Linked DNA regions of Oryctolagus cuniculus. The protein of the gene in region 1 interacts with the protein of each later gene in a biochemical or structural test. Links are inferred from orthologs where the notes say so. Each region holds a gene or a part of one and is shown in the gene's direction. Other genes may lie near its edges.

What was found.
Region 2: the proteins of RAF1 (region 1) and RHEB form a complex in vitro, tested with the Homo sapiens proteins (3 studies listed by BioGRID and IntAct). The link is inferred for Oryctolagus cuniculus from reciprocal best matches to the Homo sapiens genes RAF1 and RHEB.
Region 3: the proteins of RAF1 (region 1) and RASD2 form a complex in vitro, tested with the Homo sapiens proteins (2 studies listed by BioGRID). The link is inferred for Oryctolagus cuniculus from reciprocal best matches to the Homo sapiens genes RAF1 and RASD2.

The regions. Positions count from the first base shown.
Region 1 is NC_091441.1:114,625,154-114,628,894, forward strand, and holds the start of RAF1 (RAF proto-oncogene serine/threonine-protein kinase), read left to right. Parts: upstream 1-1,343; 5' UTR 1,344-1,778; coding exon 1,779-1,860; intron 1,861-3,741. UniProt on the Homo sapiens protein: Serine/threonine-protein kinase that acts as a regulatory link between the membrane-associated Ras GTPases and the MAPK/ERK cascade, and this critical regulatory link functions as a switch determining cell fate decisions including proliferation, differentiation, apoptosis, survival and oncogenic transformation.
Region 2 is NC_091438.1:22,310,696-22,314,436, forward strand, and holds the start of RHEB (GTP-binding protein Rheb), read left to right. Parts: upstream 1-1,596; 5' UTR 1,597-2,060; coding exon 2,061-2,112; intron 2,113-3,741. UniProt on the Homo sapiens protein: Small GTPase that acts as an allosteric activator of the canonical mTORC1 complex, an evolutionarily conserved central nutrient sensor that stimulates anabolic reactions and macromolecule biosynthesis to promote cellular biomass generation and growth.
Region 3 is NC_091442.1:113,063,600-113,067,340, forward strand, and holds the start of RASD2 (GTP-binding protein Rhes), read left to right. Parts: upstream 1-1,082; 5' UTR 1,083-1,947; intron 1,948-3,741. UniProt on the Homo sapiens protein: GTPase signaling protein that binds to and hydrolyzes GTP. Regulates signaling pathways involving G-proteins-coupled receptor and heterotrimeric proteins such as GNB1, GNB2 and GNB3.

The DNA.
Region 1 (3,741 bases):
AAGGAACACCTGTGCAGCCCCCGAGAGAGCCGGCCAGCGGTGTGCCGCTCCCCCGTGAGCGGCGGAAGTGGGGAAAGTGGCAGGGGGAACCGCCCTTCCACGGAGGTGAAAGGGTCGGTAGCCAACTTGGGAAGAACCAGCAGCAAACCCGGGGAGGGCCGAGCAGACAAAAGAACAGCGCAGGGTCCTGTGTCATTCCTCCGTGAAGAGGGGGAGCGACAGCCGCCGCCTGCATATGGGCACTGGTTCTAATCCTGGCTGCTCTACTTCCAATCCAGCTCTCTGCTATGGCCTGGAAAGCAGTAGAAGATGGCCCAAGTCCTTGGGCCCCTGCACCCATGTGGAAGACCCAGAGGAAGCTGCTGGCTCCTGGCTTTAGAACTGCGGAGTGAACCAGTGGATGGAAGACCTCTGTGTCTCTTTCTGCCTCTCCTTATTCACTCTCACCATTTTATTTTTGATTTGTGAGGCGGAGTGAGTGAGCCTGAGCATTCACTAGCTCTCAGGTCTGCTGATTGACTTCTCTGAATCTTAATACAGGGCCTGGGCCGGGTTGAACTGGGAGCTGGATGTCAGTCCAGGTCTCCATGTGGGTGGCAGGAACTCAGTTACTTGAGCCCATCATCACTGTCTCTCAGGGTTTGAGTTAGTAGAAAGGTGCAGTCAGTAGTTGGAGTTGGGATTCAGATGCAGACATCTTAACTGCTGGCCCACGTGCTTGCCCTGGGATCAGCCTTTCTGAAGCTCTGACTTAGCTCTGACTTAGGATTGTCAGCAAAATTATCAATGCGAGTAGAAGGGAAATACCCTCTGTCTTTCATAATTTAAAAAGTTAAAACTCCATGATGCTTTTCTCAGATTTTTTGAAAATTATGAAAGTGTGACAGAGAACATGTGCATGTGCCTGGCAATGATTGTCCCCCAACTCCCTCCTTGGGCTCCCCAGTCTGCTGGTTCATTCACCAAATGCTCTCAGTGGCTGGGGCAGGGCTGTCTGAAAGCGAACTCTCGCTCATGGGTGGTGGGAACTCATCTCTGCCTCCCATGGTTTGCATTAATAGGAAACTGGAGTCAGGAGCCAGAGCCAGGCATAGAACCCAAGGGACAAGGGGACCTTAACCCACCTTTCAGGGAATTTATTAAATGAATAAGTCGAAAGAAAGGAATACTTGGGATATAGGAAACAGGACATCCAATACAGGAAAGAAGTGAAGGAAATCCCCGGAAGGCCAGTGGAAGTCAATTCCTATACAGGTATACAATTGGGCACAAGAATCCTCAGGGCTGGCACTGTGGCATATTGGGTTAAAGCCCTGGCTTGAAGTGCCGGCATCCCATATGGGCGCTGGTTCTAGTCCCGGCTGCTCCATTTCTGATTCAGCTCTCTGCTATGGCCTGGGAAAGCAGTAGAAGATGGCCCAAGTCCTTGGGCCCCTGCACCCATGTGGGGGACCCAGAGGCAGCTCCTGGCTCCTGACTTCAGATTGGCGCAGCTCTGGCCATTATGGCCATCTGGGGAGTGAACCAACGGATGGAAGATCTCTCTTTTTGTCTCTGCCTCTCTCTCTCTGTAACTCTTTCAAATAAGTAAAATCTTAAAAAAAAAAAAAAAAAAAGAATCCTGAACACATCCAGGCATTCCCCCTGCCTGGATGTGTTTGGTTTGTTTTTTTTTTTTTTGTTTTTGTTTTTGTTTTTTACTTTGGAAATTTATATTTATTAAATGAAAGTTGAAAAAAATTATAAATGACATTCAAAAACATTTAAAAAATAAAAAGATGTGGATCCCCACAGACTTTGCGAGGTACTCGGGACAGAGTGTATCATCGCAGCCCCCTTCCAGCGCACACGTCAGTGGCGGTAAGTACATCCACACGGTCCCTGCCGTTACCACCATCTCCAGGCCTGGTCTGTGTCCCAAACCGAAACTCTGCTCCTGAACCAGGAAGTCCCCGTTCCTCTCTGCAGTCCCTTTGTGTGTCTGCATTTGACTGCTCTGAGTCCCTCACAGACGTGCAGTCACACACTGACTCTTGTGTCTGGCTTACTTCACTTAGCATGATCTCTTCAGTGTTCGTCCGTTTTGTAGCAAGCGTCAGAATTTCATTCCTTCTTACGGCTAAATTCCATTCTAAGTATATAGTACTTTTTTTTTTTTAAATCCATTGATGGACCCTTTCTTGGAATCTCAACAATATTCACCTAAAGGATGGCCTTTTCTTGAGTGAGAGGAAATGGACCATAACTTAAAAATATTACATGATGATAGTCCCTTTAAGTATACTCCCTTCCTTGTGGAGGCGGTATAGAGACTTATGCTGAGTCTTGAGATAGTCCAAGTGATTGGAAATGTGAATAAAACAGTCTGGTAGCATAGTGTTTCCCAAAGCATGGGACATGTATTACTGATATTTACAAAATGATTTTAGGGGATATTTTGGGAGCATGACAGAAACTAACTGAATCAATCTGATAAGGATTTAAAGGAGAAAGACTCAGTTTTCTGCTAACATTTTGTTTTACTTTAGTTTTATTAATTTATTTGAAAGGCAGAGTTAGTTAGAGAGCATTGTTGTCATAGGCCATGTTGGTTCCATGCATATTATTGCCCTGGAAGACGTGCCAGTGGGCAAAATGTGGAGGTAGTGTCGCTCCCCGTCTTCGTGGAGGAACGACACAGGACCCTGCGCTGTTCTTTTGTCTGCTCGGCCCTCCCCGGGTTTGCTGCTGGTTCTTCCTGGGTTGGCTGCCGTCCCTTCCACCTCCGTGGAAGGGCGGTTCCCCCTGGCCACTTTCCCCACTTCCGCAGGGGAGCGGCACACCGCCGGCCGGCTGGCTCTCTCGGGGGCTGCACAGGTGTTCCTTCAGATAGATGTTCTTGGTGCATGTTGTCTCTCTCCTCCTTTATAGTCCTCTTCCGCCAATCCCAACTCGGCTGCCCACACGCCGAGTACGCTGCTCTCCTCCAATCAGGAGCAGGATCAGCTCCTGGAGGTCATCACTCAAGTTGGCCAGAGGCAGCTGCGTAGAAGCTGTTTTCTCCTCTCCCAGCGCCATATTGTGGGAGAGCAGATGCATAGAACAAGTCTTAATTCCAGTAACTCAGTCTAGTCCGAGTTGCTCCCAGTTGCTCCCCACAGGTAGAAGATAGGGCCATTGATGATCCTGACCCTTTGTGTCTTTGGTTGTTGTTTTTTAAGATTTATTTATTTCTTTGAAAGCCAAAGTGACATAAAGAAACAGTAGACAGGAGGAGAGGGAGAAAGGGTTGGTCGGTTGGGTGAGAGGTAAGAGATAATTCCCATCCCCTGGCTCATGCTTTGAATGGCCACAGTAGTCAGGTTTGGGTAAGGCTGTAGCCATGGACTATGTGCTTGTCTTTCACAAGGGTGACGGTAGCCCAAGCACTTCTTGTGCTGCCTCTCAGGTATATTAACAGGAAGCTGGATCAGAAGTGGAGTAGCGGGGACTTAAACCAGCAGTTTGATGCTGGCATCACAAGCAGCAGATTAACTCTGTGCCACAACCCTGATCCCTGTATCTTGGTTTTTAATAAAAAGTTCAAAATGTAAAAGCAAAATTTTCTAATTTAAAATAGATCGAACGTTTAGAGAGGCTTGTGTTGTGGTGTGGTAGGTTAAGCTGCTGTCTGCAATGCTGGCATCCCGTGTGGGTGCCAACTGGACAGTGCCAGTGGCTCCTCTGCTGACCCAGCTCCCTGTGAATGTGCCTGGGGAAGCA
Region 2 (3,741 bases), on another chromosome or scaffold:
TTTTCTGGAGGGTCCATTTTGAGTCCTGTAGTTTTAATATATTTGAAGGAGGGGCAAGTGTCTGATTCATGGTTAAGATGCCTGAACCTCACATTGGAGTGCTTGCCCCGACTCTTGTATTTCTGAACCAGCTTCCTGCTAACGCACTCTGGGAGGAAGCAGGTGATGGCTCAAGTACTTGGGTATCTGCCAACCACGTGGGAAAATCAGGATTGAGTTCTGTGCTCTTGAGTATGGCCTGGCCCAGCTCTAGTTGTTGTAGTTATTTGGTGAGTCAACCAGTAGACAGAAGCTATCTCTTTCTCTCTAATAAGTGACAATAAAAATTTTAAAATAATAATCTTTAAATAAATTATAGAGAAGGCAATTCTTCGCTGAGACAAACTATAGAGTTTTAAAGATGGCTTCCAGCTGGTTGTCTGCGACTTCAATCTGCAGAACCCTGAGGATACAAACGTACACCTCTCCCCTTTGCTAGGAGGGTTTCGGTGGGTAAGCCGGAACGCTTAGGGCAGGGTTGCAATTCGACCAGGTGCAGCTATACAACAAGCGCTCTGAATCTCCACACTCCGCAACCCAAGGCCGGCCCCCGGGGGTCCCCGCCCCACTCGTGGGGGAGGGGGCGGCGCGAGGGCAGCTGTCGTCAGCCCGGGCCGCACACCAGGGGCAGATTCGCAGGAGCGGCAGCAGTGGAACTGCTTATTCGGCCACCACCGCGTTCAACGCTGTCTGCCATGGCTGGGGAGTCTCCCAACGGCATCTTCATTTTCTCAGGCCCGCCTTTCCCGGGCTGGTTCGCCTTCCTGCGCTCCGCGGGGCGGCCGCGGCTCTTCACAGACACCCTGCAAAAGGGGGTCTGTCCGCGACAGCCTGCGCCCCCCCAACGCCCACCCCGGCCCCTTCCCCGAGAACGGCCTCGTGGACGAGCAGCGCGAGGGTCTGGCGTTGGTTGTTACCGCAGGATTCCCGCACCGGGCCCGCCCGTCACAGGGCTTCACACCACAGCTGCAGAGGCTCGCGCCGTTTTTAATGAAATTCCTGACATCTCGGAATTCATGCAGCTTCCCTTCAGCCCACAGTCTCTAAGCCTCGGGCGACGCTTAGTCACCACCTACATCCTCAAACCTAGACCTGGGAACGCCAAAGCGGTGAGAGACTGTACCAAAAAAAAAAAAAAAAAAAAAAAAAAGAGGGGGGAGCCGGTCAACCCACAGCCAGCCCGCCATGGCCACGCGCCTCGAACCTTTTAAGGGCTCCGCGAGAGCCAGTCAGCCAACTGCTCGACGTTCCTCCAATCCCCGCGCCTCCCGCCGCTAGCCCCGCCCCGCGCTCCTCTCGGGCCAATAGCTGCGGAGCATCTTCGCTCGCTCGCGCGCTCTCTCTCCGCCTCTCCCGCCCACTTCCCACCCGTTGCAAGTTCGAAGCCTTCAAACCCCGCCGGCGCCCAGGCGCTGCGGAGGAGCCGGGTGTATTTTTAGCCTCCCGGCGAGTAGCCCCGCCTCTGGCCCCGCCTCCTCGTCGTCCCCAATGGGAGACGGAGTTTCCGTCGCGTCATCGCGCGGGCGGGCAGGAACTGTCCAATCAGCGTCCGGAGAGAATTGGCGTAATTAAAAAGCGGCGGAAGGAGGTGGGAGGGTCATGACGCAGCGAGTTTCAGTCTTGACTTTTCCGGGAGCATTTCGGCGTCCCCGTTTTTTCCCTTTAAAGTAGAACGTTGCCCCGACGCATCCTCCGCGCCTTTACAGGGGGCGGAGGCGGCGAGCCGCGGCGGCGGCGGGAGGAGCGGCGCTGACGCGGGCCCTGGCGGAGGGGGCGGCCGCGGCGGGGCGGTCACGTGGCCGTGTTGTGGGGGGAGGGGCGCCGTCGCGCGGTCGGTTCCGGGCGGTTGGAGCGCGCGAGCGAGCGAGCGAGCGAGCGAGAGAGAGCAGCCGCGCCCGCCGCCGCCCCTGCCCTGTATGCCGCTGTCCCCCGGCGCGGCCGCCGCCGATCGCAGCAGCAGCAGCAGCAGCCGTCGCCGCCGCGGTTGATGTGGTTGGGCCGGGGCTGAGGAGGCCGCCAAGATGCCGCAGTCCAAGTCCCGGAAGATCGCGATCCTGGGCTACCGGTCTGTGGGTGAGTGGCCGGCGCCGCGCGGCCTCCTCGCGCCGCCGGGGCCTCTACCTCGGCTGGGTTGCGGGGATGCGGCCGCGCCGACGAAGTTTGTGGAGCCGGCGCGGCCGTGGGCCGGGCGGGAGGGGGGCCGCGTTTCGTAACCACCATTTTGAGCAGAGGTGGCGGCGGTCGGGGCGGCGGCGACCGCGCCGGACCGGGCGATGCGGGAACCCGCGCCCTGCGGGGCCGGGGCGGGCAGGTGGCGGCGGGGCACGTGGGGCCACCGGGCGCGGAGGAGCCCTAGGTTTGCCGAGGGCGCGTTTGGCGGCGGTGGGAGTCGCTTGCCGCCCTGCCGGGCGCTCCCAGCAGGTGGGACTCGCACCTGCCTCCCTCTACCTTCGGCCGCCGGCGCTCGTGATCCCGGCTGCCGCCTTCCGCCACCCCGGCCTCCAGTGAAGTCCGTGGGATTTTGACAAAGAAAACGGCACCTTGGGTCCTTTAAATCTGTGAAGTTCAGCCTGAAACACACACATACACACCACACACACCTCCCCCCCCCCCCAGGTTAGAGTTTGGTTACTGAGGGCAAGTTCCCTACCAAAGAAACCTAGAAAAGCCCCCAAAGAGACCAAAAGTGCTCCAGATACTCTTGGCGGCCAAAATAGGAAAGGAGAGAAAATTTTCTCGTCTCTCGGTGCCCTATTTTTCTTAGGGGAAAAAAAAAAATAATAAGGTCAGGTGCCTGTATTCAGGCTGTTGGAGTGATTCGGAAGTCTTCTCTTTTTTTTTTTTTTTTCTTAGGAGGTCGGCATACATTTGAAACTGTTTCTGGCAGTCGCTGCTTTGCTGGGTAGAGGGAGTCGGGGGTTGGTGCCCTGAGTGTCATACTGGGAAAAAAACAGAGCCGTTGAACTTGGGGGCGGCTTTGTTGTCTCAGACAAGCCGATACCTGGAGAAAATACGTTTATGTTGTCCTGCTGGTTTTTTTTAAAAAGTAACTGTCGAAAGACAGTGTGCACCTGAGCACGCTGCGGGGCGGAGGGGAAAGCCAGCGTTTGGCGGCTCTGGTGGTGGCCGCTGGAGGGAACCGTGGCTGCCGGCGCTCGGCAGAGGAACTCCCCGGCTGTGCGTCTCTCTCGCTGCCTCACCCCCACTTTCCACCGCCCGTGCCAGGGTCTGTTCGCTTTGACCCAGATCGGCTACAGCATGCTTACTCATCCCTTTACCGTCTCTCCGGGGGGAGTCCGGAGATTCGGCGGTGGGCGGGAATCAGAGGTGGATGAGCTGTGTGGATATGCCTAGCCCGCAGTCCCACATCAGAGGTCTGGACGCACAGATGGAAATAGCAGGTGACAGCCCTAACAGCTGCAGCCGGAAAGGCGCTCCGCAGTCCGCTTTCCAAATGCCAGTATGGTCCTGTGATCTAAACTTTATCAGCAGCCTGAGGCATCTTCTTGCTTTTCTGTGTTCTCCGTGTTTCCTTGTGTGCGTTTGGAAGAGAGGGTCTGTGGCAGGTGTTGGCTCTTGAGTGCTGTCTGATCAGATACATAGTGCTGACCAAAGATAGGAGTCTCGGAAGAACGAGCTTACAGTGATGAGCACTTAGTCTACCTGGTTTCTTTCTTTTCTTTTTTTGAGCTTATTTGAGAA
Region 3 (3,741 bases), on another chromosome or scaffold:
GTAGAGAACAGGGTCTGCTTGTGTCCCAGCAGTGTTAAACCCATTTTATAGATGGCACAACTAAGACTCAGGGTGGTGTCCGAAGCAGGGCTTGGGCGCGAGTCTCTCTCCCTTGGAGCTGCCTACCGGGGGCGTGAGAGTCACAGCCACCCCCAGACTCCGGGTCCCGGGCGCAGGGACAGCCGTCCCACGGAGACCTGACAAGGCTGAGCGCTCTCTCACACCTCGGCGAAACCGCCCATCTCCGCCTCACCCGGGGCACAGCTCCAGCCTCGCCGGCCAGTTTCCAGCTGAAATTTAATAACCTTGCTTTGTTTTCCTTGTACTTATTTTTACTCTTACCTTCTATTTATGGCAAGTGATACTGGCTTCCCATGTAAGGCAGAGATACGACGATTCTCTGAAAAATGTGCTGGGGCGGGGAGCGGGTCTCGGATGTAAAGCGTTAATAGGGGGCGCGTGGCCACCGCAGGCTCAGCCTGCCCGGGCTTAGGGAACGGCGAATGCCGGTCGGCGGGAGGCTCCGCCCCGGGCACACGGGCGGCCCCCGACAGCGCTGCGGGCGCAGACCTCCGTGCGGGCGCGCTGGGCCAAGGTGACTCCAGGCCCCTCGCGGTCCCACGTGCGCGGCCCATGTGTCAGCGCAGGGGTCCCTCCTGCTCGGTAGGGGCGGGTAGGTCGGGCACCTGGGGACTTCCGCAGGAGACGGGTTCGGGAGCCGGGGTGGGGGGGTGCGGGGTGGGCGCGGGCTGCAGACCACCCGCGGCCGGCCACCTGCGGCCAGAGCTGGCGTGCGTGCGACTGCGTGCGCAGACGTCAGCCTCCGAGGCCCGGGCCGCCTTCCGGCCCCCGCGCGCGCGTGCCCCGGCGCCTCGAGCCGCCCCCCAGCCGCCCCAGCCCCACGCGCCCGGGCACGCGGAGCCGCCGGACTGCGGCGCCCGGCGGGCGCGGGAGGGGCGGGGCAAGGCCGCGGGCTCCGCTCCCATTGGACAGGGGCTCCGGGCGGGGGCGGGGCTCGGGGCGAAGGCGGGCGAGCGCGCGAGCGCGGGGCAGACGCGGACGCCGGGCCGGGCTGCTCGCCGGGGGCCGCGGGCGCGGGGTGGGCGACGCTCGCCCGGGACCGCCCGCGGGAGTCAGCGCTCCGGCCGCTTTCTGGAGGCACCGCGAGCTCGCCCTGCCGGAGGAGGGGGCGTCCGCCTGCGGGGAGTCGGGGGCCGCGCAGAAAGTTCTCCTCCGCGGGAGGGCGCGGGGAGGAGGCGGGCTAAGGCGAACTTGGGGCGGCGTTCACGGCCCCCTCCCACACACGCGAGCGGAGCTGAGCGCCCTGCTCCTCCGTCAGCTGCTGGCGTCGCCTCGCGGGGAGAGCTGCGGCGCTGCGGGCTGGCGCGGAGGCCCGAGCGACCCCGTGGGAGCGGGCGGAGAGGGTAGCACGGGCGGCCAGGGCAGGCTCACGCGCCCGGGACACGCACGCATCCACGGTCACTTCCAGAGGACACCCCCGAGCCCCGGGTCTCTAGGGGTAGCTCCTTGATCCCCAGAGTCGCCCTGAGCTCGCCCGCCCGCCCGGGAGCCCCAGGCGGGGACCCTCTCCCCATCGCCCCCCGCATCGCGCGTCTCCAAGCCTCCGGGCACCTGGCTCAGCAGGAGGCCCCCGGGTCGGGGCAGGGCAGGGCCGGCAGTGGCGAGCCGGAGCCCGCCCAGCGCCCGAGCCCCGCCGACCCCTCGGAGCCCACCCATGGGGCCCCAGCTCCGCGCGCCCCCTCGCCCGGCCGCGCCGCGCCGGGCACCCCGAGCCGCGCAGAGGAGGAGCCCCGCTCAGTGACCCGGGAGCCGCGGCAGCCACAGGGAGGCTCGGCGGCGGCGGCGGCCGGAACGGCAGGCGGTTCCCCACACCTCCAGGCGCTTCCTGGCAGCCCTCCGCGCCGTGCCAAAGGCCTGGCCCGCCAGGTAGGAGAGAGACGGGCAGCAGCCTCGGGGAGTGGGGTCGAAGTGGGGCGGCCCGGGGGGGCGGGGAGGGTCGGGACCGAGGAAGGCTGGGCGCTCCTTGACAAGCCAGGGGGAGAGCTGGTTTGGGTGAGCACCTACTATGTGCCAGGGTCCATAGCAACTTTACTTAGCTAGGAAGAACTGAATTCTTCGGGGTGTGGGTTGGGCGGGGGCTGCACCCTTTCCAGGAAGGGGAGCCTGACCCAGCGTGCTACGAGACTCTCAAAAACACTGCCAGGACTCCTGGAGCCAGCAGCAGCCTGCACAATTGCGTGTGGGTGGGTGGGGGGTGTCTGTGATAGGCCCTGGGCTGGCCGGGACCCCCTCTGAGGACAGCAGGCCAGGGAGCCCCTTCCTTACCCGTAGCCCCTCCAGCTTTCTCTGGGTCGCCAAAGACAGATGTCCCCTGCCTGGGAAGAGTTTCCAGGGCTCAGTGGCCCCGAGGGACCCCACACGCCTCTGGCCAGAGCAAGAATGTTGTCCGGGACCTCTTGCGGGTGGGGGGTGGGGTGGGGGGAGATGCGGGCTTCTCCTGGGGTGGGAGTGACCAGGTGGGGGTCCTTTCACGCCTCTGCCTGCACCCAGCTCAGACTGCTGGCATTAAGTGCCACAAAGAAAGGAACCCGGGGCTTGAGGCCTGCTGTGTGTGCCCTTTGGCTGTACCGGCCTCTGGCCAGGCTGTGGGTTTGGCCCCCCATTTAATGGAGAAACAGCCTGAGCCCCAGGAGGCCGAGTCATTGGCCAGGTCGGGGAGAGGCAGAGCTGGGCTGTGGAGAGCCGTGGCTGCCTCCCTGCTGCTGTCCTGATCCAGGGCCCAGGGGGTTGGCTGGGGGTGGGCGGAGCTGCGGCCAGGGTCTGCAGTGGGGGGGGGGAGCAGAGGGGCTGGGGGAGGGCGAGTGCAGTGAAGCCGGCTGTGGGGTGCCCACCGAGAGGACACGGGCGTCCCCACCCTCAGCCTGCTGTCCCTGCCTGTGTGACCCCCCTCTTCCAGGCAAGCCTTGGGGGAGAGGGGTGCGAGGGAGGAGTGAACCAGCAGGTGTACTTACAGGGTCTGCAGGTGAGCCAGGGGGGTGGGGGGAGTGAGGTGGTAATGTGCCTCCGGGGTCACTCCCGCTGCCACCAGCCGAGGCTTCACTCCACTGCACACTGTTCTCCTAAGGACTCTGGTTTGGGCCAGGGGTGGGTTCTCATAGCGATCAGAGCTCAGCCAGGAGCCCAGCAGCCTGGTGGTTTCCCTGCCCAGCCAGCCGGCTGCTGTGTGCAGCAGGGCAGGCGACTCAGCCTCCCTGCCCATCAGCATCCCGTCAGTCCAGTGGGAGGGGAGCAGTGCGTCCCCGACGGGACTGCTGGGAAGTGGGAACAAGGCAGGGTCAGTCGCCTGCCTGGCCAGGGTCACTATTCCCCTGGACCTCCCCCCGCCCCGCCCCGGTGTCTGTGCCCCCGGCTGCCCTCATGCTGCTGCTGTGGGCTCAGCGGTCATATCAGTGCCTCTGGCTCCCACGCTGCTGGTGGTCACTGGTGACTCTCAGGTCTCCCAAAAGACCCTTTAAACTGAGTCCTGGCTGTGCCTTCCTGGGGTCAGCCCGGCCCAGGGTGGAGAGTGGGGAGCAGGCAGCGGAGGAGAGACGTTGTGCCACGCCCATCAGTGCCCACCTGCCTCCTCCCGCTGAGGAGAAAGAACAGTGTGGGGGCGGGAGGCGGAGCCCACGGGGGCCCTGTCACCTGGCATCCAGGTGTCAGTGCCTCACACGGCCC